Anolis sagrei: one gene and its partners. The protein of the gene in region 2 interacts with the protein of the main gene of each other region in a biochemical or structural test. Links are inferred from orthologs where the notes say so. Each region holds a gene or a part of one and is shown on either strand. Other genes may lie near its edges.

Region 1 (7,428 bases), on a different chromosome or scaffold from region 2:
ATGGCTTTAAAAATGAAATCTGTCTAAAAGACACACTGTGCACCATCCTGAGAACCATCAGCTTCTCAGCAGGACACACATATTTCCAAAGAAGAAAAATAAATAGTTCTCTTAACGTCATGTCCCTTCAGAGTCATGTGGGTGAAGCTGGTGGCATCAATGAGGAATGGTGAACCTGCCCTGAGTTTCAATCCAAACTCGAAAAGAGAATTGAACCTATTTTAGGGATAAACAGCACGTATAGTTCCCTTTCAAGTTTGAAATGAAATCCAAAGCACAAGCATCCCCTCACTGACTTCAAAATCACCAACAACCACGCAAATAATGACATTCACAATTACTTTGGAAGGAACTACAGCTATTCCTTTCCTTCAACTAGAGTGCCAAAACTGCAATAGAATATTTGGCTAAAAGGCACCAAGGTGATATGGGCACATCCTCTAGGTCAGCGTTTCTCAACCTGAGGATTGGGACCCCTGGGAGGGGGTCATGAGGGGGTGTCAGAGGGGTCGCCAAAGATAATCAGAAAACGGTATTTTCTGTTGGTCATGGGGGTTCTGTGTGGGAAGTTTGGTCCAATTCTATAGTTAGTAGGGTTCAACGCATGGCAGCACGGTACGCATATATGGGTGAGAGAGAGCATGCGAGGCTGGAGGGAGGACGTGACAGCAAGTCCCTTCAAGGCATGGGGTTCTATGTGTTTGGCCCAATTCTAGGGTTCAGAATGCTCTTTGATTGTAGGTGAACTATAAATCCCAGCAACTACAATTCCCAAATGTCAAGGTCTATTTCCCCCAAACCTCCACCAGTGTTTACATTTGGGCATATTGAGTATTCATGCCAAGTGTGGCCCAGATTCATCATTGTTTGAGTCCACAATGCTGTCTGGATGTAGGTGAACTATAACTCCCAAACTCAAGCTCAATGCCCACTGATCCCTTCCAGTATTTTCCATTGGTCATGGGAGTTCTGTGTGCCAAGTTTGGTTCAATTCCAAATTGGTGGAGTTCAGAATGCTCTTTTGTGAACTATGAATCCCAGTAACTACAACTCCCAAATGACAAAATCAATCCACCCACAACCCCACCAGTATTCAAATTTGGGCATATTGGGTATTTGTGCCAAACTTGGTCCAGTGAATGAAAATACATCCTGCATATCAGATATTTACATTACGATTACATCACAGTGGCAAAATTACACTTATGAAGTATCAACAAAATAATTTTATAGTTGGAGGCCACCACAAAATGAGGAACTGTATTAAGTGGCCATGGCATTAGGAAGGTTGAGAAACACGACTCTACAGTTTGACAATTGCAGAGAACTCCACTCTAAGTTTTGGTATTGAACAGTAACGGAACTATCCAAACTCTTGGGCTATAATCTCAGTTATACTGAGACCAGAATCAACATTTCACATTGACAGAGTGATCCTCTATGGATGAATGACTGCCAGCATACCCATTCTGGGCAATAGTCTGAATGTTAGAGGAGTTACACAAGCTCCAAGCTTTATCCTCCACACTGTGATAAAGTAATAAAAATAGAATGATAGCACTTAATGGCACAGATGAGAAACAAAGCATGAGAATATCAACTGTCCACTCACCAAAAGACAGTACGAAAAAGAAAGGCAGCCAGCAGAGAATGAAGACCCCGACCACGATTGCGAGGGTTTTGGCGGCCTTCTTCTCCCGGGAGAACTTCAAGAGTCGCACGGAGAGGGAACTCCGGAAAGTGTGTCCCTTGTTCTTGGTGCTGGCCTGGGAGTCCTCCACAACGCTGCGGCAGTGGATCCGGAGCACGACCTCCATGGATTTGCTCCTCTCTTTTTTGACCCCGGCCTCCAAGCTCTTGGTGGTCCTCCGTGCCACCACATAGATGTTGAAGTACATCACCAGGATGACGGCCAGGGGCAAATAGAAGGAGAAGAGGGAGGAAAAGATGGCATACCCTGGCTCTTCCGTGATGTTGCAGTGCTGGTCGTTCTCAGGAGGTGCCTCCTTCCATCCCAGAAGGGGACCGATGGAGATGACCATGGAGGAGATCCAGACGGCCACCATGATGATCACCGCCTTCTTCTCAGTCATAATGGTGGGGTATTTCAGAGAGTACTTGACCCCGATGTACCGATCCACGGAGATGATGCAGAGGCTCATGATGGAGGCCGTGCAGCACAAGACATCCACCGCTGCCCAGATGTCGCAGAAGATGCGCCCAAAGACCCAGAGGTCCTCCAGAACTTCCAAGGTGGCTGAGAAAGGCAGGACGGTGGTGCTGAGGAGCAAGTCGGCGATGGCCAAGTTGATGATGAAGTAGTTGGTGACCGTCTGCAAGTGACGGTTGCAGGCCACGGAGAGGATGACCAAAATGTTGCCCACAATGGCCGAGAGGACGAAGAGGGCCAGAAAGACCCCTACACTCACCGACTGGAGGGTCAGCTTCAGAGCCAAGGAGGTGCCGTTGTTGGCCTGGACATCTTCCTCTCCGCCGGTCCCATTAATACCCCCAGCCTCTCCCGAGTGGTTCCCATTCAAGCTGGCATTAATCCGGTCAGAGAAAGTCATTCTTTTTCAACAAGGTCCGGTCTCCATGGGGTGGGACGTGGGATGGCTCAGCGTGGCAGAGGGACAGAGGAGAAGAAGGGCATAGGCATGGGCTTTCACTCACCCCAAACTCCCAGTCTCGCATCAGGAACTGAACCCATTCCTCTTCTGAGGTGCATGCTGTCAGGAGGAAAGTCTCTTCCCAACTTGTCCCGATCTCCCTTCTTCTGCAACTCTGGATCAAGATTCTCCAGACTCTGCAAATCTAAACCTACCAGGGATGCCCTTCAGTAAAAGACACCTTCATCCTTCTTTTCCCTCCTTAAATCCCCAGGGGCAAGTGGCTTCCCTTGCCAAGCTGCTGGATCTCGAGGAGCCCATCTTCCCTACCACAGAGGGACCCCGGTTTGTGAAGCAAGGAGGGGAGAGAAAGAGAAGGAAGGAAGGAAGGAAGGAAGGGAGGGAGGGAGGGAGGGAGGAAGGAAGGAAGGAAGGAAGGAGCTCCCCTCCTATGTCTTGGGCTCCTCCGCCCCTGCTTCCTCTTCCATCCAAGGTCCTCTTCAGCCAATTCCTGCAATCACAACAACTCGCAAAATGGTCTAGATGCCCACTCGTGCGGGGGAGGGAAGGAAACACCCGCAACGAAGAAGGAAAACAACCTTCTCCCCCTTTCTTTCTTTCTCTCTTCTTTGCGCCTCTCCAAATGTTGGGTACCAAATTCCCTCAAGCAGAAAGGTGGCTCATCTCAACCAGAGCAGGTAAAAAGTGAGAGGGAAGCTCAAGGTAGCAAGAAAGAGGATTTCTGGAGAGGAAGGACTGACTTCTTCTTCTTCCTTGTGCCTTCATCCAGAGAAGATGAGGGAGAGGATTGGGGAGGAGGCGTCACTTCCACCGGGATCCAAAGGGATGCGCCAAGCGGGGCGCACGGAGGAAGAAGAGGAGGAGAAGGAAGAGCATCCCCACTGGAGAAAAAACCGCTTTCCTTGCGACTCAGCCTGCCATGCAATCCTGGAGGAGGGAGACCAGCCTTCACTGCCCCACGGCGCTGCCTCCGACACAGGAAAGGAAAGGCAGAAAAGTCGCAATCCTTCCAGGCGCGGAGAAGAAGAAACTTTGCATTCAGGAGGCGGAGTGCGGTGGTGGAGGAGGAGGAGGCGCTCTTGCGGGATGGAGGGCTGGATGGATACACCTTTGGGGGGCTCGCTGTGCACGGAAACAGGAAGCCCAAAGGGAGAGGATGGGGACACGCTCCTTCTCTGGCTCTCAGCGGCCCCCCAATTGGGAGGAGACGCAGGCAAAGAGGGACCCCCTGCAACAGACTCTGCGCCCTGCAGTTGCCAAGATGCCCAACCAAGTGGATGGAGAGGGGAAGAAGCCGCCTGGCGTTTGGGGTGGGGGGAAGGGGAGGGAAGAGAAGGGGGGAGGAAACACGTTCTGGGTCAAAAGGGGAGGGGAGGCGGAGGAGGAGGAGGGGGAGGAGGAGGAGGGGGAGGCTGGAGCTGCTGCCCAAAATAGATTCATTGAAGGATTTCCAGCGCCTCCGCTGAGCGCACCGAAGCCGCTAGGGGACAGCAAAAGGCAGGGCTGCTCTTGGCCTCGCAGACTTACTACTCGCTTGGTCATCTTTTCGCATCTCGAATCCTAATGAACCGGCTCTTGTAGGACTGGAGTAGACTTCAGGTTCAACCAGGACTAGGGATCGAATCCCCCGCCCGGCTTAGAGAGGCGCATTTGGTGACCTTGGGCAAATAATGTTGGGAAGAGGAGCTATTAGACTCAAAATAATGCTCATTTGGAATCATTTGGGGTGATTCCACAATATATATGCTTAAGGCACTCTGCTATCTATCTATCTATCTATCTATCTATCTATCTCTGCTATCTATCCATCTCTGCTATCTATCTTTCTGTCTCTGCTATCTATCTCTGCTATCTATCTCTGCTATCTATCTATCTATCTATCTATCTATCTATCTATCTATCTATCTATCCATCTCTGCTATCTATCTGTCTGTCTATCTCTGCTATCTATCTATCTATCTATCTATCCATCTCTGCTATCTATCTGTCTGTCTATCTCTGCTATCTATCTCTGCTATCTATCTATCTATCTATCTATCTATCTATCTATCTATCTATCCATCTCTGCTATCTATCTGTCTGTCTATCTCTGCTATCTATCTATCTATCTATCTATCTATCTATCTATCCATCTCTGCTATCTATCTGTCTGTCTATCTCTGCTATCTATCTATCTATCTATCTATCTATCTATCTATCTATCTATCCATCTCTGCTATCTATCTGTCTGTCTATCTCTGCTATCTATCTCTGCTATCTATCTATCTATCTATCTATCCATCTCTGCTATCTATCTTTCTGTCTCTGCTATCTATCTCTGCTATCTATCTATCTATCTATCTATCTATCTATCTATCTATCTATCCATCTCTGCTATCTATCTTTCTGTCTCTGCTATCTATCTCTGCTATCTATCTCTGCTATCTATCTATCTATCTATCTATCTATCTATCCATCTCTGCTATCTATCTGTCTGTCTATCTCTGCTATCTATCTATCTATCTATCTATCTATCTATCTATCTATCTATCTACCTCTGCTATCTATCTGCCTGTCTGTCTGTCTGTCTCTGCCATCTATCTATCGATCTATCGATCTATCATCTATCTATCTATCTATCTATCTATCTATCTATCTATCTATCTATCTATCTATCTATCTATCTACCTCTGCTATCTATCTGTCTGCCTGCCTGCCTGCCTGTCTATCTGTCTCTGCTACCTACCTACCTACCTACCTATCTATCTATCTATCTATCTATCTATCTATCTACCTCTGCTATCTATCTGTCTGTCTGTCTGTCTATCTCTGCTATCTATCTATCTATCTATCTATCTATCTATCTATCCATCCATCCATCCATCCATCCATCTAATTAGAGTGCCTAAAGTGCAGTTCATAATCAACAGAAACTTAGGTGTATTGAGATAGGATTGTTGTTGTTCATTCGTTCAGTCGTTTCCTTCAGACCAGCCCACGCCAGAGGTCCCTGTTGGTCGTCACCACCCCCAGCTCCTTCTTCAAGGATACCATCCATCCATCCATCCATCCATCCATCATAGGATTAGCTTTCATATAATCATAGAGTTGGAAAAGGGCCATCCAGTCCAACTCTCTGCCAAGAAGCAGGACAATCGCGTTCAAAGCACCTCCAACAGATGGCTATCCAGCCTCTGTTTAAAAGCCTCCAAAGGAGGAGCCTGGGGCAGGGAGTTCCACTGCTGAACAGCTCTCACCCTTAGAAATTTCTTCCTCAAGTTCAGATGGAATCTCCTTTCCTGTAGTCTGAATCCAGTGTTCCACATCTTAGTCTCCAGGGCAGCAGTAAACAAGCTTTCTCCCTCCTCCCTATGACTTCCCCCCACATATACATGGCTATCATATCTCCTCTCAGCCTTCTCTTCTTCAGGCTAAACATGCCCAGCTTTTTAAGCTGCTCCTCATCGGGCTTGTTCTCCAGACCCTTGATTCTTGGAGTCAAATTCCTCTGGACACATTCCAGCTTAGAGTCAACCTCTCCCTTCAATTGTGGTGGCCAGAATTGGACACAGTGTGATTCCAGGTGTGGTCCGACCAAAGAAGAATAGTGTGACTTCCCTGGATATAGACACTACATTCCTATTTATTTATTTATTATTTCCAACATTTCTACCCTACCCTTCTCAACCCCTGAGGGGGCGGGGCGGGCTCAGAGCGGTTTACACAGGCAAAAATTCGATGCCACAACATACAAAACAATTATAACAGATATAATAACAATTTAAAACAGTAAATAATATTTATTTATTTATTTATTTATTTAATTACAGCTTTTATATTCCGCCCTTCTCACCCCACAGGGGACTCAGGGTGGATTACAGTCTACACATATATGGCAAACATTCAATGCCGATTTTTGACATACAGACATATACAGACATAGACAGAGGCTATTTAACTTTTTCTGACTGCTGGAGCTGTCGCTTTCATCGTCCATCTGCGACGCTGATAAAGTACTTCCGCATTCCTTGCATGCTTCCCCGCTGGAATGCTTTGCTGGAGTCTTCTCTATGGCCTCATAAATTAGTTAATTTAGCCTCCCCACACTTTAATGTGGTACCTAATTTTCCTACTTGACAGATGCAACTGTCTTTCGGGTTGCAAAGGTTGACAACAGGCTACACACAATTGGTTAGAAACCCACTCCAACCTGGGCTGGCTGCGAACTCATGACCTTTTGGTCAGAGTGATCTTTTAATGCAGCTGACACTCAGCCAGCTGCGCCACAATCCCGGTAAGTTAAAAACAATTTAAAACATTGCAGTCCAACATCCCATTGGCTTTGACAACACAATAATAATAACAATAATAAATAAGCCACCTTTCTCCCAGCTTTGGAGGAAAGCAAAAGCAAACAAACCCCCTCTGGACCTGTTCTTCCAAGAAACCTCTTCTAATAGGGTCACCGTAAGACACACAGCAACAACAAGAATCCTATGATCAGAGGATGCCTGCCTTCCTAAAGCCTTTCATTTCAGGGAATTCCCTTTTAAACTGCAGGTGTTTTCCCTCTTAACATGACTTGGCACGTAGACTATTTTGGAGAACTATTTTTTTTAATTGCAGGTGTTTTTGTTTTGCAAGCATTGTCTGACGAAGATCAGACCTCCGATGGAGGAGGGAAGACATGAGGAGGGTTTAAAGTGGATTCATTCTCTAGATAACTGCAACGCACTCTACGTGGGGTTGCCTTTGAAGACTGTTCGGAAACTTCAATTAGTCCAGCGGGCGGGAGCCAGATTACTCACCGGAGCATCAT
Region 2 (7,438 bases):
AACTTTCCGACCTTTTTAACCTTCAGAAGGCACACTATAAAACCACAACTAAGAACCTGAGATTTGATTGTATGTGGTTCCAAAGGAGTAAGATATATATATAATCATTATTATTTTTATATATTAATTTTATATATATTCTACAAAACATGATTTCTATATATAAGTGGCAGTGACAGTACATTTTGTAATGAAATCACAGTTCAGATTGAAGAAGACACACTCAAGAATGGGTTCACACAAATCGGAATCCACAGGTGCACTTTCTGGGTGGAAATGTCACTGCAATCCCACATCCGCAGGGAAGCCTGAACATCCCTACCCAGCACCATTCCTTGGGTGGGAAGCTCAAGCAACACCCTTTGCCTGAGAAAGAGGCATATGGCAAGTGCTTGGGATGCCTGGGATGGGCAGGAAGGGTGAAGGAAGGCAAGGCCTTCCAAGGGGGAATCAACACTGCAAGCAGCTTGACACCACCTTAACTGCCAAGGCTCAATGCTATGGAATTCCGGGGGTTGCAGTTTTCAAAAAGGTCCTTAGCTTCCTCTTTGGCTGCTTTGAGTAAATGTTTTCTCCTGACATTAAGTCCAGTCGTGTCTGACTCTGGGGTTGGTGCTCATCTCCATTTCTAAGCCGAAGAGCCAGTATTGTCTCTAGACACCTCCATGGTGTTGACGCAGGCTTTCATGGTCAGAATCACTGGGTTGCTGTGAGTTTTCTGGGTTGTATATCCATGTTCCAGAAGCATTCTCTCCTGACATTTCACCCACATCTATGGCAGGAATCTTCAGAGGTTGTGAGGAAACTAGGCAACTAGGTTTATATATCTGTGGAATATCCAGGGTGGGAGAAAGAGCTCTTGTCTGCTGCAATTGGCCAGCTTGATTGGTATTAATACTTCTCAACATAGGATCCCCCCAGGCAGGAAACATCCAGGCCTTGAAGCTGTCAGGCTATTCAATGCTAATCAAACTGGCCAAGTACGACATTCACACTTGCCTCAGACAAGAGTTCTTTCTCCCACCCTGGATATTATTCCAGAGCTATATAAACCCAAATTGCCTAGTTTCCAACAGACCTCACAATTGGGTTGCTGTGAGTTTTCTGGAACTGTATGGCCATGTTCCAGAAGCATTCTCTCCTGACGTTTTGCTCAAATCTATGGCAGGCATCCTCAGAGGTTGAGGGGTCTGTTGGAAACTAGGCAAGTGGGGTTTATTTATCTGTGGAATGTCCAGGGTGGGAAAGAATTTTTGTCTGAGGCAGATGTGAATGTTGCAAATGGCCAGCTTGATTAGTATTAACACCTCCCAATATAGGATCCTCCCAGACAGGAAACTGCCAGGCCTTGAAGCTTCTAGGCTATTCAATGCTAATCAAGGTAGCCAATTGCAACATTCACACTTGCCTCAAATAGACAAGAGTTGGGTTGTTGTAGGTTTTTCAGGCTGTATGGCCATGTTCCAGAAGCATTCTCTCCTGATGTTTCACCCACATCTATGGCAGGCATCCTCAGAGATTGTGAGGAAACTAGGTGAGGTTGTATATATCTGTGGAATGTCCAGGGTGGGAGAAGCAACTCTTGTCTGTTTGAGGCAAGTGTGAATGTTGTAATTGGCCAGCTTGATTGATATTAACACCTCCTAACATAGGATCCCCCCAAGCAGGAAACAGCCAGGCCTTGAAGCTTCCAAGCTATTCAGGGCTAATCAAGTTTGCCAACTGCAACATTCACAAATGCCTCAAACAGACAAGAGTTGGGTTGTTGTAGGTTTTTCGGGCTGTATGGCCATGATCTAGAATCATTAATAGAATCATAGCGTTGGAGTAGACCTCATGGGCCATCCAGTCCAACCCCCTTCCAAGAACCAGGAAAATTGCATTCAAAGCACCCCTGACTGATGGCCATCAAGCCTCTGTTTAAAAGCTTCCAAAGAAGGAGCCTCAACCACACTCTGAGGTAGAGAGTTCCACTGCTGAACTGCTCTCACAGTCAGGAAGTTCTTCCTAATGATCAGATGGAATGCTTCTAGAACATGGCCATACAGCCTGAAAAACCTACAACCCAGTGATTCCGGCCATGAAAGCCTTGGCAATACACACAAGAGTTCTTTCTCCTACTCTGGACATTCCAGAGCTATATAAACCCCACTTGCTTAGTTTCCAACAGACCTCACAACTGGCTTGTTGTGAGTTTTCCGTGCTGTAAAGCCATGTTCCAGAGGCATTCTCTCCTGACGTTTCAACGTCACAACCTCTGAGGATGCCTGCCACAGAAGTGGGCGAAACGTCAGGAGAGAATGCTTCTGGAACATAGCCTGGAAAATTCACTTTCCCATGTTCTCAAGGGCAATTCCCCCTTTCCTTCTCTTCTCGGGAACTTCTTCCAAGGGGGGACTTCTCCTCCAGCGCTTTCCTGGCGCAGCTGGGAAGGAAACAAACTTAGTCCGGATCCCGTTGGCAAGGGGCTAAACTAAAGAAAGCAGGTTTAAAAGGGGCTCCAGAGGGTGAAAGGTTAGCTAGGCGATCAAGGGGGAGAACGGGCAGAGAGCGACCTCTCGGGGAGCCCCAGAAAAGAAGAGGAGGAGAAGGAGACCCACCTTTGATGCTGATGCCAAGGCCGCCCACGTCCTGCTTGACGATCCGGACGGTGCGCTTAATGTTGGTGAGGGCGTCCGGGACCAGGGCGGGCGGCGGGTCCCCGCCATTCAGTTGCCCGGGGCTGGACGGCGGCGTCTCCTCGGGCCCTTTCCCCGCTCCTCCTCCTCCTCCGCCGGGACTGACGCTCAAGAAGTCTTCGGAAAGAGCCAGCAGGACCCGCAACCACTGCTCGCCCGGCGCCCGCAGCTCCAGCAAGCCGCTCTTGGGCGCCCGCCGCCCGGCCGCCATCTTCAGCGCATTCCTTCCTCCCTCTCTCCCTTCCTTCCTTCCTTGCTTCCTCGCTCTGCCTTCGGTGGACGGACTCCGGCTCCAGCCCCGCCGCCTCTCCGCCTCTCCGCCCACCGAGCAACGCCCCCGGCGCCTCCCGCCCCGCGCCTCCACACCGAGGAACCAACGCGGGTTGGCACCGCTTTGCACTGCTAAGGCTCCATGCCCTGGAATCCCGGGAGCCGCACTTGGGCAAGGTCTCGCCCAATGACAACTGCCCTGATGCCACAGCGTCGAGCTAAGTAAAGCAGTGCCAGGGGTGACAAACGGCATCGTGTTGCTCAGCCTTCCTAATGCCCCGCGACCCCTCAACACAGTTCCTCAGGTTGTGCTGACCCCCAAACATCACATTATAATTGTCATTTTCCTACTGTTATGAATCATAATGTGAATATCTGAGATGTAGGGTGTATTTTCATTCACTGGACCAAATCTGGCACCTGGTACGCCCAAATATGAATACCACTGGGATGGGGGAGGATTGATTTTGTCATTTGGGAGTTGTAGTTGCTGGGATTTATAGTTCACCTACAACCAAAGAGCATTCTGAACTCCACCAAGGATGGAATTGAACCAAATTTGGCACACAGAACTCCCTCTTCCAACAGAAAGTACTGGAAGGGTTTGGTGGGCCTTGTATTGTGTCTGTTATTGCTTGTATTGATGTATTACGGGCTCAGCCTCATGTAAGCCGCACCGAGTCCCATGGAGAGATGGTAGCGGGGTATAAATAAAGTATTATTATTATTATTATTATTATTATTATTATTATTATGGGCCATTGGCCTTGAGTTTTGGAGTTGTAGTTCACCTACATCCAGAGAGCACTGTGGACTCAAACAATGATGGATCTGGACCAAACTTGGCACAAATACTCGATATGTCCAAATGTGAACACTGGTGTTGTTTGAGGAAAATAGACCATGACATTTGGGAGTTGTACTTGCTGGGATTTATAGTTCACCTGCAACCAAAGAGCATTCTAAACTCCACCAACGATGGAATTGGGCCAAACTTGGCACAGTGACTCCCATGACAAACATAAAATACTGGAAGGGTTTGGTGGGCCATTGACCTTGAATTTTGGAGTTGTTGTTCACCTACACTCAGAGAGCACTGTGGACTCAAACAATGGTGGATCTGGACCAAACTTGGCATGAATACTCAATATGTCCAAATGTGAACACTGGTGTTGTTTGAAGAAAATAGATGTTGACATTTGGGAGTTGTAGTTGCTGGGATTTATAGTTCACCTACAATCAAAGAGCATTCTGAACTCCACCAACGATGGAATTGTGCCAAACTTGGCACACAGAACTCCCTCTACCAACAGAAAGTACTGAAAGGGTTTGGTGGGCCATTGATCTTGAGTTCTGGAGTTATAATTCACCTATATCCAGAGAGCACTGTGGACTCAAACAATGATGGATCTGGACCAAACTTGGCACAAATACTCGATATGCCCAAATGTGAACACTGGTGTTGTTTGAGGAAAATAGACCTTGACGTTTGTAGTTGCTGGGATTTATAGTTCACATACAATCAAAGAGCATTCTTATCCATCTAACCCCATTTCTTATCCATCTAACCCCACATCCGTGAATCCAACCCCCATGGTGTCTGACGCCCCTCAATGTGGATCACATAACTACCCAGCAACTACCCATATGTCTTCTTTCATAAAATCTCTTTGTGGAAATCTTCAAATCTACCTTTGTCTTCTTTTCCTGATGTCCAAGTGCCAGCCTCCATTTGTTTGCAAATCCTTCATTATTTCTTCCTCTGCTACTATTTGTCAGCTTGGCCATTTGGATAGAATCTACTAATTTATCTCTCCAATCTTTGATAGCGAACTCTTTTTCCACCCTTCCATGTTTTAGCTATTATTAGTCTCACAGCAACAAAGCAATATTGATAAATTTCTTCATTTCTTGTGCAAATACACCTTCTAAATAGTCCTACTAACCACATTTCTGGGTTTTCCTTGACCTTTTTGTTAATCATATTGTTTGTTTCTTTCACCACCTTTTTCCAGAATTCTTGAACTATTTTACAGGCTTTCCCTTTCATCTCCAGTTTTGGGAAGCAGCGTTCAATGCTGACCACAGGGAGTTACTTTTATTCCATTTCCAAGCTGAGTAGCCTGTTGTTTATAGACACCACCTAGTTTTGTTGCTGGCATGGCTGCATGGACGCCTTTATTACCTTCCCGTCAAAGCGATACCTATTGATCTATTCACATTTGCATATTTTTGAACTGATAGGTTGGCAGGAGCAAGAGCTAAATTCAAACTCTACTGTCCTGACTAAACAGAACAAAGTGCAGCCTCCCAATTTTACTGTGTCCCAATTCCCATCAGGCCTAGTCATGTTTAAATGAGGGATGAGGGATGCAGTAATTGTAGTCCATCTGGAAGAGGGTCACATAAAATAGTTAGGCCTTTGGGCCTTGAATTTGACAGGTGGAATAGATGCAGCCAAGATATCTGGTGGAAGAGTAGGGATCTGTCTGCTTGACCTTTGGAGATTTGGAGATTTTTTTTTCATTTCTGGTGTGACATTGCTCAGGAGACGCCCAGATGTTTTACTATCCTGTGGAAGGCTTCTCTCATGTCCCTGCATGAAAAGCTGGAGCTGATAGATGGAAGCTCCCTGGATTTAAACCACTGACATTTCAGTCAGCAGTCCTACTGACACAAGGGTTTAACCCATTGCGTCGCCTTTGGAGATGCCCAGGGGCCTGAAATGGCCCCAAACAAGGCAGGCAGAGAGGGGCAAGGTGGCAGAGCTAAAAACTCACAAATAATAATCAAATCCACACAAAAGAAACCCACAAATATATACTGCCCTGTAAGATCTCCTGGTGGCACACAAGTCAAATCAATTTAAAACTCTTCAAATCAATGAACCTAATTCAAACAGTCTTTTAAAAAACCCAATATGATGAGGGGCAACTTTATTTTGCCCTATAACATCTCAGAGTGATACACACGTTCAACCAGACATGGGCCAACTTGGGCCCTCCAGGTGTTTTGGACTTCAACTCCCACAATTCCTAACAGCCTCGGGCCCTTTCCTTTTCCCCTCAGCCACTAAAGCCTGAGGCTGTTAGGAATTGTGGAAGGTGAAGTCCAAAACAACTGGAGGGCATAGGTTTGCCTGCGTTACACCAATTTTAAAACTCTTTAAAACAAGAGTCCTCATTTAAACAGACTAAAATATATATTCAACACTTTCAACGAGTCAAAAATAGATTTAAAATACTAAAACGTTCTAGCTATGGGCTTGAATGTGTTAGAAATAAATCAACATGGCTCCAAAGGTACTAATAAACAGCCATGGTTGACATTGTGCTGAAATGAAGCCTTCATTGGTCCTCCAAAAGAAGGGCATTCCACAATTGAGGTGCTCCCCCACCCCCCACCCCCATATCTTTCCACAACATATTGATCAGCAAGAGAGGAAAAGGCCCTTCTAACAGAGCTCAAACACTGAAAAGTCTTGATAAAATGAAAACAATCCTTTTCAAGAATTCTTTTGACTTGTATAGACGGTGGGTGCTTCTGTTGCTGCTATTGTTTAGATTCCGTGTTTAGAATGTTTTGCACTTCAGGAAATATTTCTGTGGTTTTATTTTTCTTTCTGTACACCACTCCCAAAAACATAATGTTACTGGGCAGTGTAAACATGGTCTGAATTACCACAAGAAGGTCTGTCCTCCGCTAGGAGAAAACTCCCTGTGGATCTGGGTTGTTGTAGGTTTTTCTAGAACATGGCCATATATCCCGAAAAACCTACAACAACCCAGTGATTCCAGCCATGGAAGCCTTCGACATTACATTCCCTGTGGATTGTTCTGTTTCCCTCCTTGAATGGCCTGCCACAGGCAGATGCATTTGTCAGAGGAAAATAGGTACACTTGTTGTTTGTCACTAACCTTAATAGTAGCTCTTTGTTGTGCCAATAACAAATGTTAAGAGCAAGCAGCTTCCATGACATTTTACAGCTGGAACTCCCCATTTGAGTTTGAAAATGTATTTTCCTCATTATCTTGAAAATTTGGAGAGCTTAGTATAGTGAAGTAAAGGTAAAAGTTTCCCCTGACATTAAGTCTAGTCGTGTTTGACTAGGGGGTGCTCATCTCCATTTCTAAGCCAAAGAACTGGCATTGCTCATAGACACCTCCTAGGTCATGTGGCCAGCATGACTGCATGGAGCACAAGCTACCTTCCCACATTTGCATGTTTTTGAACTGCAAGGTTGACAGAAGCTGGGCCTATCAGCGGGAGCTCACCCCGCTCTCCAGATTCGAACCACCAGCCTTTCGGTCAGCAAGTTCAGCAGCTCAGTGATTTAACCCTCTGCGCTACCAGGGGACTAATTATTATTACCAATTAGTATTTTTTTTGTCGTGTCAGGAGGGACTTGAGAAACTGCAAGTCGCTTCTGGTGTGAGAGAATTGGCCATCTGCAAGGACGTTGCCCAGGGGACGCCTGGATGATTTTTGAT
Region 3 (7,473 bases), on a different chromosome or scaffold from region 2:
CCAAGGGACTCGGTGCGGCTTACATGAGGCCGAGCCCAAACACAACAATACAAGCAATAATAACAACAATACAAGCTATTAAAATACATAGACAATAAGAAACAACATTATCAATAAAACAACACATAGTTAAAAACAGTGGGAAGGCCAAATGTTAAGTTAAAATTGGAAATAATGCTGGGACATGAACAGAAGGTGATACTGGTGTTTGTGGAAGGGCATACAAGCACACTTAAAGAAATGTAAAGTGCTTTGGAGGACAAAGTGCTATGGGGTCATTATTCCGGGCACACTGGAACAGCCACGTCTTCAAGTTCCTCCTGAAGACTGCCAAAGTTGGAGCCTGTCTGATGTCTTTAGGGAGTGAGTTCCAGAGTTGAGGGGCCACCACCAAAAAGGCCCTCTCTCTCATCCCCACCAATCGCGTCTGCGATGCTGGTGGGATCGAGAGCAGGGCCTCCCCGGATGATCGAAGGGATCGTGTGGGTTTGTATACAGAGATGCGATCACGCAGGTAGGCGGGTCCCAAACCATTCAGGGCTTTGTAGGTAAGAACCTGCACCTTGAATTGGGTCCGGTGGATGAATGGCAGCCAGTGGAGCTCCTTGAACAGGAGGGTTGACCGCTCCCTGTAAGGAGCCCCAGTTAACAACCTGGCTGCCGCCCGTTGGATCATCTGAAATTTCCGGGCTGTTTTCAAGGGCAGCCCCATGTAGAGTGCATTGCAGTAATCCAGTCTAGAGGTGACTAAGGCGTGGACCACCTTGGCCAGAACTCTTTTTTCCCCATGTCAGGAGTGATTTCAGAAACTGCAAGACGCTTCTGGTATGAGAGAATTGGCCATCTGTAAGGACGTTGTCCAGGGAACACCCACATATTTTTGATGTTTTACCATCCTTTTAGGGAGGCTTCTCTCATGTCTCCGCATGGGGAGCTGGAGCTGACAGAGGGAGCTCATCCGCGCTCTCCCAGGATTTGAAACTGTGACCTGTCGGTCTTCAGTACTGCCAGCACAGGGGTTTAACCCACTGTGCCACCGGGTGCTCCACATTTTTTGAAACTGTTTGCTGGTGTTAGCTGGATTTTAAAGAGGAATTTGGACTGCTTATAATGGATTTAAAAAATTATTTCATGTTTTCAAAGTGTTTTTATCAATTGTGCATTGCTGCAGGGGTACTAGTGAGTACAGAGGTAAGGAATCGAATAAAGCAAACTAATAAATCAATAAATCATATTTCGGACATGCTTTGCTTACTTGCTTCAACAAAAGAAGGAGGTGAGGGGATGGCTGCATGCAGAAGCCCAGTCTAGTGCATATGATGTTTTATTATGCCAGAATTATGACCCTTCATGACATGCATTGTACACACCATGACTGATTTGCATATTTCTTTAAAGTTATTTATACTGCACCCTTCAAAGAAATTTACACTATGCAGCTTACAATAAATGCAAGGCCACAGAGTGGAAGTGAATCAGATCAAGAATATTTGTTCTGTGTGGTGACTGGTGATGCAGCTATTTCAATACTTGACCTACTGCATAAAAGAGCATAAAACTTCTGGTCCTCGAAGAGACGGTAGTGAAGATAGAGCCAGGAATGCACTAATAAGAGTGAAGAGAAAGGAAGGCAGAAGACAGTTCCATCTTGTCTCCTGCCTATATCATCAGTTGGGAGGCCTCCCCTCTCTGGCACCAACTGCTGCTCTGGCCAAAGTGAAGAGAAAAGGGGGCAGAAGACAGTTCCATCTTGTCTCCTGTGCTTTTGTTGTTGTTCATTCGTTCAGTCATTTCCGACTCTTCGTGACCTCATGGACCAGCCCAAGCCAGAGCTCCCTGTCGGCCATCACCACCCCCAGCTCCTTCAAGGTCAATCCAGTCACTTCAAGGATACCATCCACCCATCTTGCCCTTGATCGGTCCCTCTTCCTTTTTCCTGTGCTTTACTAATAATATCATATATTGTATATATATATAATATTTATAATATTATAATGTAATACAATATAATACTACTAATAATACAATATTATAATTATAATTACTAATAATATAACATGATATTCCCTGTAGTAACCTACGGATGTGAGAGCTGGACCTTAGGGAAGGCTGAGCGAAGGAAGATAGGTGCTTTTGAACTGTGGTGTTGGAGGAAAGTTCTGAGAGTGCCTTGGACTGCGAGAAGATCCAACCAGTCCATCCTCCAGGAAATAAAGCCCGACTGCTCATTGGAGGGAAGGATACTAGAGGCAAAGTTGAAGTACTTTGGCCACATCATGAGGAGACAGCAAAGCCTAGAGAAGACAATTATGCTGGGGAAAGTGGAAGGCAAAAGGAAGAGGGGCTGACCAAGGGCAAGATGGATGGATGGCATCCTTGAAGCAACTGGACTGACCTTGAAGGAGCTGGGGGTGGTGACGGCCGACAGGGAGCTCTGGCGTGGGCTGGTCCATGAGGTCACGAAGAGTCGGGGACGACTGAACGAATGAACAACAACAACAACAATAATATAACAATATAATGATATAGAACAATATAATAATATATAATATTGATATTGTACTATGCTAATAATATAATATATTGTGTATATATATGTGTGTGTGTGTGTATATATATATATATCTTGTAAGCCGCTCTGAGTCCCCTTCCAGGTGAGAAGAGCGGCATATAAATGTTGTCAATAATAAATTTAAAAAGAGTTAAAATGTAGACAATAGAATGAGAACGATGCCATCTAAAACAGCAGTAGGACAGTTGGATTAGGAAGAAACAAATTGGAACAATGGTCCATTAGGAAGATTCAAATGTGATGCCCTTAACACTTCGTTTTGGTATTTGCATAACTGTTTTGAGAGAGCCTTGGAGCGCAAGAAGATCAAACCAGTCCATACTCCAGGAAATAAAGCCCAACTGCTCACTGGAGGGAAGGATATTAGAGGCAAAGATGAAGTACTTTTGTCACATAATGAGAAGACAGGAAAGCTTGGAGAAGACAATGATGCTGGGGGAAAGGAAGGAAAACGGAAGAGGGGCAGGCCAAGGGCAAGATGGATGGATTGTATCCTTGACATGACTGGCTTGAATTTGAAGGAACTGGAAGTGGCCATGGCCGAAAAGGAACTTTGGTGTGGGCTGGTCCAGGATGTCACGAAGAGTCAGAAATGACTGAACGAATAAACAACAACATGGGTAATGGTAAAGGTTTTCCCCTGACATTAAGTCCAGTCATGTCCAACTCTGGGGGTTGGTTCTCATCTCAATTTCTAAGCCGAAGAGCCGCTGTTGTCCATAGACACCTCCAAGATTATGTAGCCAACATGACTGCATGGAGTGCCGTTACCTTTCCGCCGGGGCGGTACCTATTGATCTACTCACATTTGCATGTTTTTGAACTGCTAGGTTGGCAGAAGATGGGGCTGACAGCAGAAGCTCACGCCGCTCCCCAGATTTGAACCTGTGACCTATCGGTCAACAAGTTCAGCAGCTCAGCGGTTTAACCCACTACGCCACGGGGGGCTCTAAACAACAACATAAACATGACTGTTGCTTATTCTGTGGCCTGGATCCTTTTCAGTTGAAATATTAGCTAGAAGCTACCTATCCGACCGCATCTCTGCCTATGAACCCACCAGGACTTTGAGATCTTCCGGGTAGGCCATGCTCTCGATCCCGCCTGCTTCTCAAGCACAGCTGGCGGGGATGAGAGATAGGGCCTTCTCGGAGGTGGCTCCTCGGCTGTGGAACGCTCTTCCCTCGGACATTAGACTAGCACCATCTCTAATGGTATTCCGCAAAAACGTGAAGACCTGGCTGTTTGAGCAGGCGTTCAAGTAATCAGTGCAATGATTGGTAATGAACATAGGAATGGAACAATGGATGACGAATCTGGATTATGTTTTTGATGATTTGACGATAGTGAATGGTTATTGTAGTAATTGTTTATTAATTGTGTAATGTGTTAGGTTGTTAACTGTTTTTTATACTGTAGCATTGAATTTTTGCTGTTCTTATTGTTGTGAACTGCCGTGAGTCGCCTTCGGGTTGAGAACAGCGGTATAAAAGTAAAGTAAAGTAAAGTAAAGTAAAGTAAAGTAAAGTAAATAAATAAGAATTGTGCTGAACACTGATGTTGTTGTTATGTGCCTCCAAGCTGTTTCTGACTTATGGCAAGATTTGTTCAGAGGGTGGGTTGCCTTTACTTTCCTCTGAGACGGAGAAAGTATGATTTGTCCAAGGTAAAAAGAGTTTCACAAGCTGTTTTGCTTCTTCAGTCAGTTGTTGTGCAAGTGTTCAGCTCTCTCTCTCACTTTTGACTTGGCCGGAGTGGAACTGAGTGACAGTTGTACAACCATAGAGCTCAGGGCCATTGGAACAGTTGCATAACTGAGTTATAGTGTAACCGAGTTATAGTGTAACTGATATATATTTACACTATACTAAAAACATACATGATTTTGACATTAATTACAGTACAACCCCTGCATCTGTGGGGGATACGTTCCAAGGTTCCACCATGGATAGTTAAACTGTGGATAATAGAGAACCCGTTATTGGAGGATTTAGAGGAGCCCACAAATACTTCTAAGGGAAATTGTTTTTGGAGTGTGGGTAAGTGAAACTGTCAATATTGTACTGTATTCCACAATGCACGGTGAGTAAAGCATAATTTGTTATAGAATTCTGGAGTGAGCCTACAAAATCAGAGGTTAGAGAACAGTAATACACTGGTACTTGAAATCTAGGAATGGGTAATTGGAAAAGAAGAGACTTTCAGTCTTATCTCATGGAACAATTGAAGCATCTATGGAGCCCTATGCTGCCCATCAAATAACATAGGGTGACCTCCAGTAGGGCAGTGGTTCTCAACCTTTCTAATGCTGTGACCCCTTAATACAGTTCCTCATGTTGTGGTGACCCCCAATCATAATATTATTTTTGTTGCTACTTCACAACTACAATTTTGCTACTGTTATTAATCATAATATAAATATCTGATATGCAGGATGTATTTTTATTCACTGGACCAAATTTGGCACAAATACGTGATATGCCCCAATTTGAATACTGGTGGGGTTGGCAGGGGATTGATGTTGTCATTTGGGAGTTGTAGTTGCTGGGATTTATAGTTTACCTACAATCAAAGAGCATTATGATCACCAACAATGGAACTGAACCAATCTTGCCACACAGAACTCCCGTGACCAACAGAAAATACTGGAAGGGTTTGGTGGGCATTGACCTTGAGTTTTGGAGTTGTAGTTCACCTAGATCCAGAGAGCACTGTGGACTCAAACAATGATGGATCTGGACCAAACTTGCCATGAATACTCAACATGCCCAATGTGAATGAACACTGGTGGAGTTTGGGGAAAATAGACCTTGGCATTTGAGAGTTTTAGTTGCTGGGATTTATAGTTCACCTACAATAAAAGACCATTCTGATCCCTACCAACGATAGAACTGGGCCAAACTTCCCACATGGAACCCCTATGACCAACAGAAAATACATTTTTGGATGGTCTTTGGCGACCCCTCTGAAACCCCCTCTTGACCCCCCCAGGGGTCCCGACCCCCAGGTTGAGAACTACTGCAGTAGGGCTTTGTGAGTGAATTTGAGTGGCACCATGGTGGGATGCCAAAACAGAAGCCATCCTATGTTTCTTAAGAAACAATAGAGCTTTGATGGAGGGAGAGACTCTTCCCCATGTGGGATGAGGAAACTGCTTCTGGCTGGGTCGTTGGGATTGCTCTGCTGCCATATGCGCTGCCACCATGATTTGCAACGGAGGCTGGTGAATCAAGGCGCTGGACCTTATCCATGTGATGGGGTCCCTCAACCTTTGCTTCAAAGTGGTTGCTCAGAATATAGCCTCTGTTAAGATTAAGGACCTTGTCACATGGAGGTCCTTAACCGGGGGACAGCGGAGGCATCTGTGGGATAGTGTAGTGAATCCATGGGGCAGCAGGGTAAATTGTTGGTGGAAATTGCTCTGGAATCCATTTGTCCGTGGCTTGCTCCCATGTTGTCCCCATGTTCTCTTGACCACCACTTTTTATTTTTCATTATGTTATTTTGTACTATTTATTTTACTTGATTGGTTTATTTTATTGTGATGTTATTTTGCTGTTTTATGTTGCTGTAATGTATCGCTGGGCATGTAAGCTGTTCTGAGTCCCTTTTGGGGAGATGGTGGCGGGGTATAAATAAAGATTATTATTATTATTATTATTATTTTACTGACACAAAAGCACAGTATGTCACAGCAAACGAGATCTATATGCTGGATTTCATATCACAAAATCACAAGTCAAACACTTCCCAAGCGTCTAGGACTGTGTGATGTATTTTTGAATGATGCGTGCAGATCCAAGTAAGGTGGCCTTTTGCAATTGACAGATCATGATTTTGTCCATGTTTATTGTTTCCAAATGCCGGCTGAGATCTTTTGGAAGAGATCTTTTTGACCACTGGGACCACCTGTGCTTTATGCCAGAGCCTTTGCAGTTCAATTTTGAGGTCTTGATAGCGGCTGAGTTTTTCCTGTTGTTTTTCCTCAATGCGACTGTGACCCGGTATGGCGACATCAATAATCCAGACTTTTTTCTTTTCCACAATCGTGATGTCTGGTGTATTGTGTTCCAAAACTTATCAGTCTGGATTCGAAAGTCCCACAGTATTTTTGCGTGTTCATTTTCCATGACCTTTGAGGGTTTATGATCCCACCAGTTTTTTGCTGCTGGCAGGTGGTACTTGTGACATACGTTCCAGTGAATCATCTGAGCCACAGAGTTGTGTCTTTGTTTGTAGTCCATCTGTGCGATTTTCTTGCAATTATTATTATTATAATATTATAAAATTATTATTATTATTATTATTATTATTATTATTATTATTATTATTATTATTACGCTGCTGAGCATGGAGCCAGCATATTTCGCACGCTTACCACACTGCCGGCACAAAGCCAGCATGAAGCACCACTGGAAATAGCCCTGTGTCATGTGATGGGCTCTGGTGAGCTCCATCCCGGCTACGTCTTGGCAGCATAATAGGATGGGGCTGAAAGCCCATGCAATGAGGTTGTATCAATCAAGCTTCTAGACTGCTATTTAAGTATGTAAGGATGTTGTTGCACAGGAGCCAGGCATGTAGCCGGGGGGGGGGGGGGGGGGGGGGCTTGAGGGGCTTTAGCCCCCCCCCCCCCCAAATTCTCATGGTGGTTCGCGAAAAGGCCTTACTGGTGCATTATTTAAACTGTTATGTTTATTCATATCATGATCTGATCACCATACTCAATATATCCCATATGCATTGGGGTATTGGGAATAACAATACAAAAGGTTTGCTAGGGTAGACCCTCTTTCACTCAGACTCAGCCCCCCCCCGAAACTCAGCCCCCCCGAAACCCCCCTGAAAAAAAACTCAGCCCCCCCCCCCCCCCCGAATCGAAATCCTGGCTATGGGCCTGA
Region 4 (7,448 bases), on a different chromosome or scaffold from region 2:
AATGACCTTGGAGGGCCGCATCCGGCCCTCGGGCCTTAGTTTGAGGACCCCTGATCTAGAGAATTATAACTGCAACATATACTCCTCTGCTGTCACAATTGATCAATTAGCAGAACATCTGATTTGGCTTTTCTCCCAGTGCTGCATGTTTCTCAACTGATACTGAGATTAATCCTATACAAATGTCTTTTTGGGGATGGTTAGAATTACTTCGGGGTTGGTGTGTGGTTTGTTCTCTGCACGCTGCCATAAAACAGAAGGGCCTTAAGAGAAGAAGGATAAGAACAGGAGTCTGTATTGGCTGGTCTGTTGTTCCAATGAAGCAAGAAAATTGTGGGGCCTTATCTGGAATGGATGAATGGAATATATGAGTAAGGTGTGATTTGTGTCCCCCAGGAAGAGAGCTTCAGGCATCCATTATTACCCTTTTGAAGTATCAGGGCCATTGTGGCTGAAAATCAGAGCTCACACCCCCTCATCTTGCCATCTGTTAGCATATAGATTGTTGTCAGTTTTTTTTTATTTTTGATACTCCTCTAATTTTATGATGTTATTTTCTTATTTTGTATATTGTTTGCAGTGAGCTACAGTGAATCCTCTTGAATGGCTTTAGCGTGTGTATCCTTCACACTTGGATAATTAACTGAAAAGTTTTCCTTTTCCCATCCCACATTTCCTTTTCTGTTCTCCCCAAGATCAGCTTTCCGTTCACCTCCTGCTTTAATGGATCACACATTTTGGGAACCTTTAAGTGGGATTATTGGTTTGGAACCAAAAGATTCCTATAGCTAAACTCATTTCCTCACATGTTCTCTCAGAAGTTTCATTGACTGCAACAAGGTAAATGTATATTCCAATGGTCCTTAACTTGTGGGACTCCAGATGTTTTGGCCTTCAACTCCCAGAAATCCTAACAGCTGGTAAACTGGCTGGGATTTCTTGGAGTTGTAGGCCAAAACACCAAGGGACCCACAGGTTGAGAGCCACTGGGGTATAGTAATGAATTTGGGATCCATGGCTCCTGTATTCAAAATGCGCTTCTATTGATTTTTGCTTATATTTGGCAGAGAGAATGCAGTGATTTGATCAGAAAAATCTTCTGCATAGTCACTCAAAGCATTTCTAATTAAGAAGATTCCACCTTGGATTAATTGACAGTGCTTTGCAGCCAGACATTTGCAGTACATCAGTTTCCTCTCCCTGAAATTCATACGGTACATTATTCCATACTAACTTTTAAATATGTTCTTAATAGACACAGATAGGGGGCAGCATTGCTTTATTCATTACTAAAAGCGACAAAACTTGGAAAGTCACATTTTGCCAGCAACATGTAGTGTAAATGCCGAGAAGCTGAACATTCACCCCATATCTCCCACTTATTGAAGAAATTGAAGAAATGGCTTTCACAAATACTTTTGAGTCACAAACACCATTTTATTTATTGTTCCCTCTGGTGCAGAAGCTTTTTTCAATTGTCCACAGTTCAGTTAGGTGATCCCTTGTTATCTGAGTATGATGGCCTTCTAAATTCAGTGTCTTGGCGGTGGATACGTAGGGAACTGTGGAGCCCTATTTTTGACCTACATGTTTTGCAAAAGTGAGGACATCGGTTTCCAGATGGAAGGTGGCCCCAGTCAGGGTTGGCTTGACGCACCTTCCTCTTGGTACGTTTCTCCCTTTTGCCCTCCATTCGTGCCTCTTCAGATTCCGCAGCACTGCTGGTCACAGCTGACCTTCAGCTAGAGCACTCAAGGGCCAGAGCTTGCCAGTTCTTGGTGTCTATGCCACAGTTTTCAAGGTTATCTTCAAGCCCAACTTTAAATCTCTTTTCCTATCCACCAACATTCTGTTTTCCATTCTTGAGTTGGGAGTATAGTAACTGCTTTGGGAGATGGTGATTGGGCATTCGGACAACGTGGAGTTGATGGCATAGGAACATCATTTCAATGCTGGTGGTCTTTGCTTCTTCCAGCACACTGACATTTGTCTGCCTGTCTTCCCAATAGATTTGCAGGATTTTTCAGAGGCAATGCTGATGGAATTGTTAAGCGTGACATCTGTAGGCAGTCCACGTTTCACAGGATTGTCCACAATATCTGTGCACAAGATCCAGTCCCATTCCCCTAATGTTTTATTATACAGTATACTGAGGAATCTACAAATGTTTCACATGTTAGCCACTGTTTCTTTGTTGCAGAAAGTGAACTCTGGCTTCTTCATTTCCTGCTCCAGCAAAGTAATGCAAGGACACTCTCTACTCACCACCCAGTAAGGGACTTTTACAAGGAAGTGTGTATAATTGCAGGAATCCCTTCCTTACCGATTATTCCACAGGCCCAGCATCCTATTGGACATGGAGCCTTACCTCATTTTGAAAGAGGTATTCTCTTTCCCTCTGCTGCCCAGTATCTATTCCATGCCTTCCAACATTTAACAGATGAAATCTGGGACACAAGTGGCAATCAACCATCAATGTGTGGTCAAGATAGCAAAAGTTAGTAATGAGGAAGATCAGGCAAACTAGGAGAGACTGTTGCAGTGTGCTTTTGTCTGAACCTCCAGAAGAGGTCAAGATTCTGCCACCTCCAATAATAGTAGTAATAATAGTAGTAAGATTTTTTTGGTGTCAGGAGTGACTTGAATAGTAGTAAGATTTTTTTTGTGTCATGAGTGACTTGGCACAAAAAAAGAGGGCCAATTCTCTCACAGTAGTCGTCGCAATAATAGTTGTTGTTGTAGTAGTAATAGTAATAATAATAATAATGTATATATTGCTTTATTTCTCTAAAAAGAAACCCACAACTGCTAACAACACTAAGATCAATACAACAATCCTCTTATCACTTTCCCATTTGAAGGAAAATTAAGCATCTTAGGTCTGGCTCTGCCTCTTACCTGTGTGCTGCAATCTCTGTTTTGCCTGGTGGAACAGAGACTCACGCTATGTACACCTCCCCAATAGCACCCTCACATTCGGAAGGCAGCAGGCTTCAAACTCGTGAATAATTGAAACTATGAATGTAAAACCGGTGAAAATTGAGGGCCAACTGTGTTGTCTATCTATTGTTATAGTGAAGTGATTAACAAAAGAGCTTAATAACAAGCACTCAAATATATTTTAGACACTGCAATAACAGCATCCTACTGGCATCCAAAACAAGCATGTGAGAAATGTTGTCTGTGGGCTTTTAAATCATCTAGGCATGCGTTCCATGTTGACACAAGCCAAGGTCTTGACTCAAGTGATAATGCCTGGGTTTTTGCACATGTGTGCTTACAGTCAGGGGCAGGGTATTCTAGGAAGCAATGTGTTGCTTGCTGTATTTGTTTATGTGTGATCGCTGAGAGCCAGCATAGTGTAATGCAGTGTTACTTAACCTGTGGGCCTACAACTCCCAGAAATCTCAGCCAGTTTACCAGCTGTTAGGATTTCTGGGAGTTGAAGGCCAAAACATCTGGGGACCCATAGGTTGAGAACCACTGGTGTAATGGTTTGAGCTTTGGACTATGACTCTGGAGAACAGTGTTGAAATCAAGTTTGGTCCAGGTTCGTCACCCGTGCTGGTCACAGTGGCCTATGAAAGTGAGAGCCAATCAGAAAGCTGCCAAATTAATCTCCCACACATACAGAAATACATACAAACACTGACTTTTATTATAGACTAGTTTGGGGACCCGGCGCTGCCTGGGTTATTTGAGAAAGGCATTGTGTGGCAAAGGTGTTCTTTATCAGTTAGTGAAGGTACTGTGAATCCCATCGAGCATGGTCCATCCTCCTCCAAACAGCCCCTGAATGTAGAGTGGGTTATGGTAGCTCTGTGTGCCAAGTTCGATCTTACTCTGTCATTGGTGAGGGTCACAGTGATCTCATGAAGTGTGTGAAGGTACTGCAGGTCCCATCATCCATGGTGAATCCTCCTTCATACCACAACAGGATGTAGAGTGGATCATGGGGGCTGCAGTGTTCTGTGGAAACCGAAGGGTTGGAAAGTACTACACATCCCATCATCCATTGTCTGTCCTCCCCCAAACCTCACCAGGAACTAAAGGGGGTCATGGGGGTTATGTGTGCCAAGTTTGGTCTTCATCGGATGAGGGTCGCAGTGGTCTTGGGAAATGTGTGGAGGTACTTGAAGTCCCATTATCCATGATTCGCCCTCCTCCAAACTACAGTAGGAAGTAGATTGGGTCATGGGGGCTCTGTGTGCCAAGTTTGGCCTTTATTGGTCTTTGTTGGGAGCCACAGTGGTCTCTGGAAACCGAAGGAGTTGAAAGTACTACAAATCCATCATCCTTTGCAGTCCACATCGTAAGTGAGAGAACATATTTGTTATAATTAAGGGAGTAGGAAGGAGAAAGATAGAATAAAAAGAAAAAGAAAAGACCCGGAAAAAAGAAGAAAAAAATAACAATAGGAATAAAAATAAAAAGTCTTCTTTCATGTCCCCACATGGGAAGCTGGAGCTGACAGAGGGAGCTCAACCCGCTTCTCCCTGGATTCGATCCTGCCAGCACAAGGGTGTAACCCATTGGGGGCACCAGGGGCTCCTGCCCATGCCTGCTCTGCTGTTTTTCCCAGCCTCTCTGTCCCGACTCTTCAACCGGGCTCCTTGCATGCAGTACGCGCTTGCGGCCGGCAGGTGGCGCGGGCGGCTTGCTTTTTCCGGCGCCTCTTTCCTTCCTGCCTGCCTGCCTTCTTTGCTTGGGCGCCGTTGCGAGGAGGCAGCTCCCCGGACAGCTAAGCGGGGTCCTCGGGCGCTTGCTGGCTGGCTGGCTTGCTTACCTTGGTGCCTGCTGACACTTCCTGCGCGGCTCAGTCGGCGGAGGAGGCTCGCCGGGGATGTGTGTCCCGCCGCCGCGCCTCCCCCACCGGCGACCGTTGAGGCTCCTGAGGCGGGTGGCCCATGGGCCCCGGAGGGCGGAGGGGGAAGGGGAAGGGGAGGCTGGCCCTGGGCCCGCGGAGGGCATCATGACTCCGGCCAGGTGAGAGCGGGGCGGATGGAGCCCCCGGAGAGCGGCTTTGGCGGCGGGGCTGCTGCTCCTTCTGCTGCTGCTGCTCCTGCTGGAGGCGCCTCCTCGTCCTCCGCCGCCTCCGCCACCTGCCCCAGCTCCCCGTCCTCGGCCAGCTCCGAGACCTCCTTGTGCCCCGAGCCGGAGAGAGCGCCCGCCTTGGGAAGGAGGCACAGCAAGAAGCGCTTCGGGCTCAAGATCTTCGGGAGGAGGTGAGCCCAGCAGGGAGAGGCGGCGTGGCCATCTGCCGGGAGTGCTCTCCCCACAGGCCGCCACGGGAGTTGTAGGCTTGCAGGATCTTTCCTGTAAAAAGACAGGATGCATCTACGCCAGGAATAGGCAAACTTCGACTCTCCAAGTGTTTAGGACTTCAGTCCCCACACAGAGAGGCGGAGATGGCCATCTGTCAGGAGTGCTTTGCTTGTGAGTTCCACTCCCCACAGGTGGTGGCAGGAATTGTTGTATTCCAGGATCTTAAAAAAAACCCCACAGGAATAGGTTAACTTCGGCTCTCCCGGTGTTTAGAACTTCTGTCCCCGCACAGAGGCGGGATGGCCATCTGTCAGGAGTGCTTTGCTTGTGTGTTCCACTCCCCACAGGTGGCCACAGGAATTGTAGTCTTGCAGAATCTTTCTTTTAAAACTCAGTATGCATCTAACACCAGGAATAGGCAAACTTCGGGTCCCCAGGTGTTTTGGACTTCCAACTCCTACACAGAGAGGAGGGATGGCCATCTGCCGGGAGTGCTTTGCTTGTGCGTTCCACTCACCACAGGCGGCCACAAGAGTTATAGTTTGGCAGCGTCTTTTTTAAAAAAAACACAGGATGTATCTACACCAGGAATAGGCAAACTTCGGCTCTCCAGGTGTTTTGGACTTCAGTTCCCAAACAGAGAGGCAGGATGGCCATCTGTCAGGAGTGCTTTGGTTGTGAGATCCACTCCCCATAGGTGGCCACAGGAGTTGTAGTCTTGCAGGGTCTTTTTAAAAAACACACACACAGGATGCACCTACACCAGGAATAGGCAAACTTCAGCTCTCCAGGTGTTTTGGACTGCAACTCCCACACAGACAGGCGGGATGACTATCCCTCGGGAGTGCTTTGCTTGTGCGTTCCACTCTCCACAGGCGGCCACAGGAGTTGTAGTCTTGCAGGATCTTAAAAAAAAAAAAACAGGATGCATCTACACCAGGAATAGGCAAACTTCGGCTCTCCAGGTGTTTTGGACCTCAACTCCCACAATTCCTAACATCTCCCCTAATATTATAATATATTGTGTACACATATAATATTGAAAATAATATCATACAATATAATGCTGATAATAATACAGTATAATAATTATATATGTTAATATTATTACAGTACAGTAGTATAGTACAATATAGTAATATATAATACTAATATTGTGCTGTGCTAATAATGTAATATATTGTATGTACATATTACTTGTAAGCCGCTCTGAGTCCCCTTTGGGGTGAGAAGGGCGGCATATAAATGTTGAAAGTAAATAAATAAATAATCCTCCATCATTGACCATGCTGGCCGAGGCCTCCTGAGTGTTGAAGTCCAAAATATTTTGAGAGAGAGGGAAAAAAAGGACTTTTATTCTCCAAATCTTTCGGACTTTGGCACTTGGGGGCCTCGGCCAGCACTGTGGGAGATGTAGTCTGTACTCTTTGCAGAGCCAAAGATTTGCCACCCAAGATTTGCCACCCAATCCTAGAGAGAACTCAAAGGTGGAGAAGTAGGTGCTGTGAGTTCTGTTTTGCCAAACAGCAGAAGGGAGGCTCCCCAAAGCAAAATAATACACTGGAGTGTGAAGAGATGCTGTCCACGTGTTCCTTAAGACTGTCCATAAAATTGTATACAGAATATATAAGAACTATATTTACATTACATGTGAGAAATGAAATCTTGCGAACTGAATATTGTACACTGTTATTTTATTGTACCTCAGAGCTCTTTTGTGGTCCACCCTGCACATCATCAAGCCTTGGGAAATGGAGCAGGAAATCATTGTTACTCTAAAGGATTCACAATCTTGTCTGTAATCACAACATGGCTTCTAAGCCAGTGGTAACAGATGTCGGGCTTGTGGGGCTTTGTAATTTCATTGTTTTTGCCATGTAGAACTGGGTTAGGGAATAAATTGAAACACTTATTTTCATTGGCAGTCCTTTCACATGCGTACACAGGCCCGGCATTGCTGGCTATTTGCAATAGGAAGTCTTGCGATATTGTCTGGTCTGGGCATATTTCACAAATTTACACAAGAACTCAAATTATATCAACATGTGAAGAGAAGCAGGAAGTTCTCACGGACCCCATATGTGTTGCTTTTGGGACTATTTTACCAGGCCAACATGGCTACTGATACAAATAATAATCATAATAATCCCAGGTGACAGCAAAATTGACGAGAAGCAACTTGA

The links.
Region 1: the proteins of SNTA1 (region 2) and ADRA1D interact in a test that uses a peptide from one of them, tested with the Homo sapiens proteins (2 studies listed by BioGRID and IntAct). The link is inferred for Anolis sagrei from reciprocal best matches to the Homo sapiens genes SNTA1 and ADRA1D.
Region 3: the proteins of SNTA1 (region 2) and sodium channel protein type 4 subunit alpha interact in a test that uses a peptide from one of them, tested with the Homo sapiens proteins (2 studies listed by BioGRID and IntAct). The link is inferred for Anolis sagrei from reciprocal best matches to the Homo sapiens genes SNTA1 and SCN4A.
Region 4: the proteins of SNTA1 (region 2) and DGKZ form a complex in vitro, tested with the Homo sapiens proteins (2 studies listed by BioGRID and IntAct, with this or other methods). The link is inferred for Anolis sagrei from reciprocal best matches to the Homo sapiens genes SNTA1 and DGKZ.

Annotation. Positions count from the first base shown.
Region 1 is NC_090025.1:9,059,549-9,066,976, forward strand, and holds the start of ADRA1D (alpha-1D adrenergic receptor), read right to left. Parts: upstream 3,019-7,428; 5' UTR 2,571-3,018; coding exon 1,613-2,570; intron 1-1,612. UniProt on the Homo sapiens protein: This alpha-adrenergic receptor mediates its effect through the influx of extracellular calcium.
Region 2 is NC_090024.1:208,951,783-208,959,220, forward strand, and holds the start of SNTA1 (alpha-1-syntrophin), read right to left. Parts: upstream 3,009-7,438; 5' UTR 2,890-3,008; coding exon 2,601-2,889; intron 1-2,600. UniProt on the Homo sapiens protein: Adapter protein that binds to and probably organizes the subcellular localization of a variety of membrane proteins. May link various receptors to the actin cytoskeleton and the extracellular matrix via the dystrophin glycoprotein complex.
Region 3 is NC_090026.1:48,522,506-48,529,978, forward strand, and holds the start of sodium channel protein type 4 subunit alpha, read left to right. Parts: upstream 1-4,456; 5' UTR 4,457-4,611; intron 4,612-7,473. UniProt on the Homo sapiens protein: Pore-forming subunit of Nav1.4, a voltage-gated sodium (Nav) channel that directly mediates the depolarizing phase of action potentials in excitable membranes.
Region 4 is NC_090021.1:278,501,799-278,509,246, forward strand, and holds the start of DGKZ (diacylglycerol kinase zeta), read left to right. Parts: upstream 1-4,428; 5' UTR 4,429-4,443; coding exon 4,444-5,225; intron 5,226-7,448. UniProt on the Homo sapiens protein: Diacylglycerol kinase that converts diacylglycerol/DAG into phosphatidic acid/phosphatidate/PA and regulates the respective levels of these two bioactive lipids.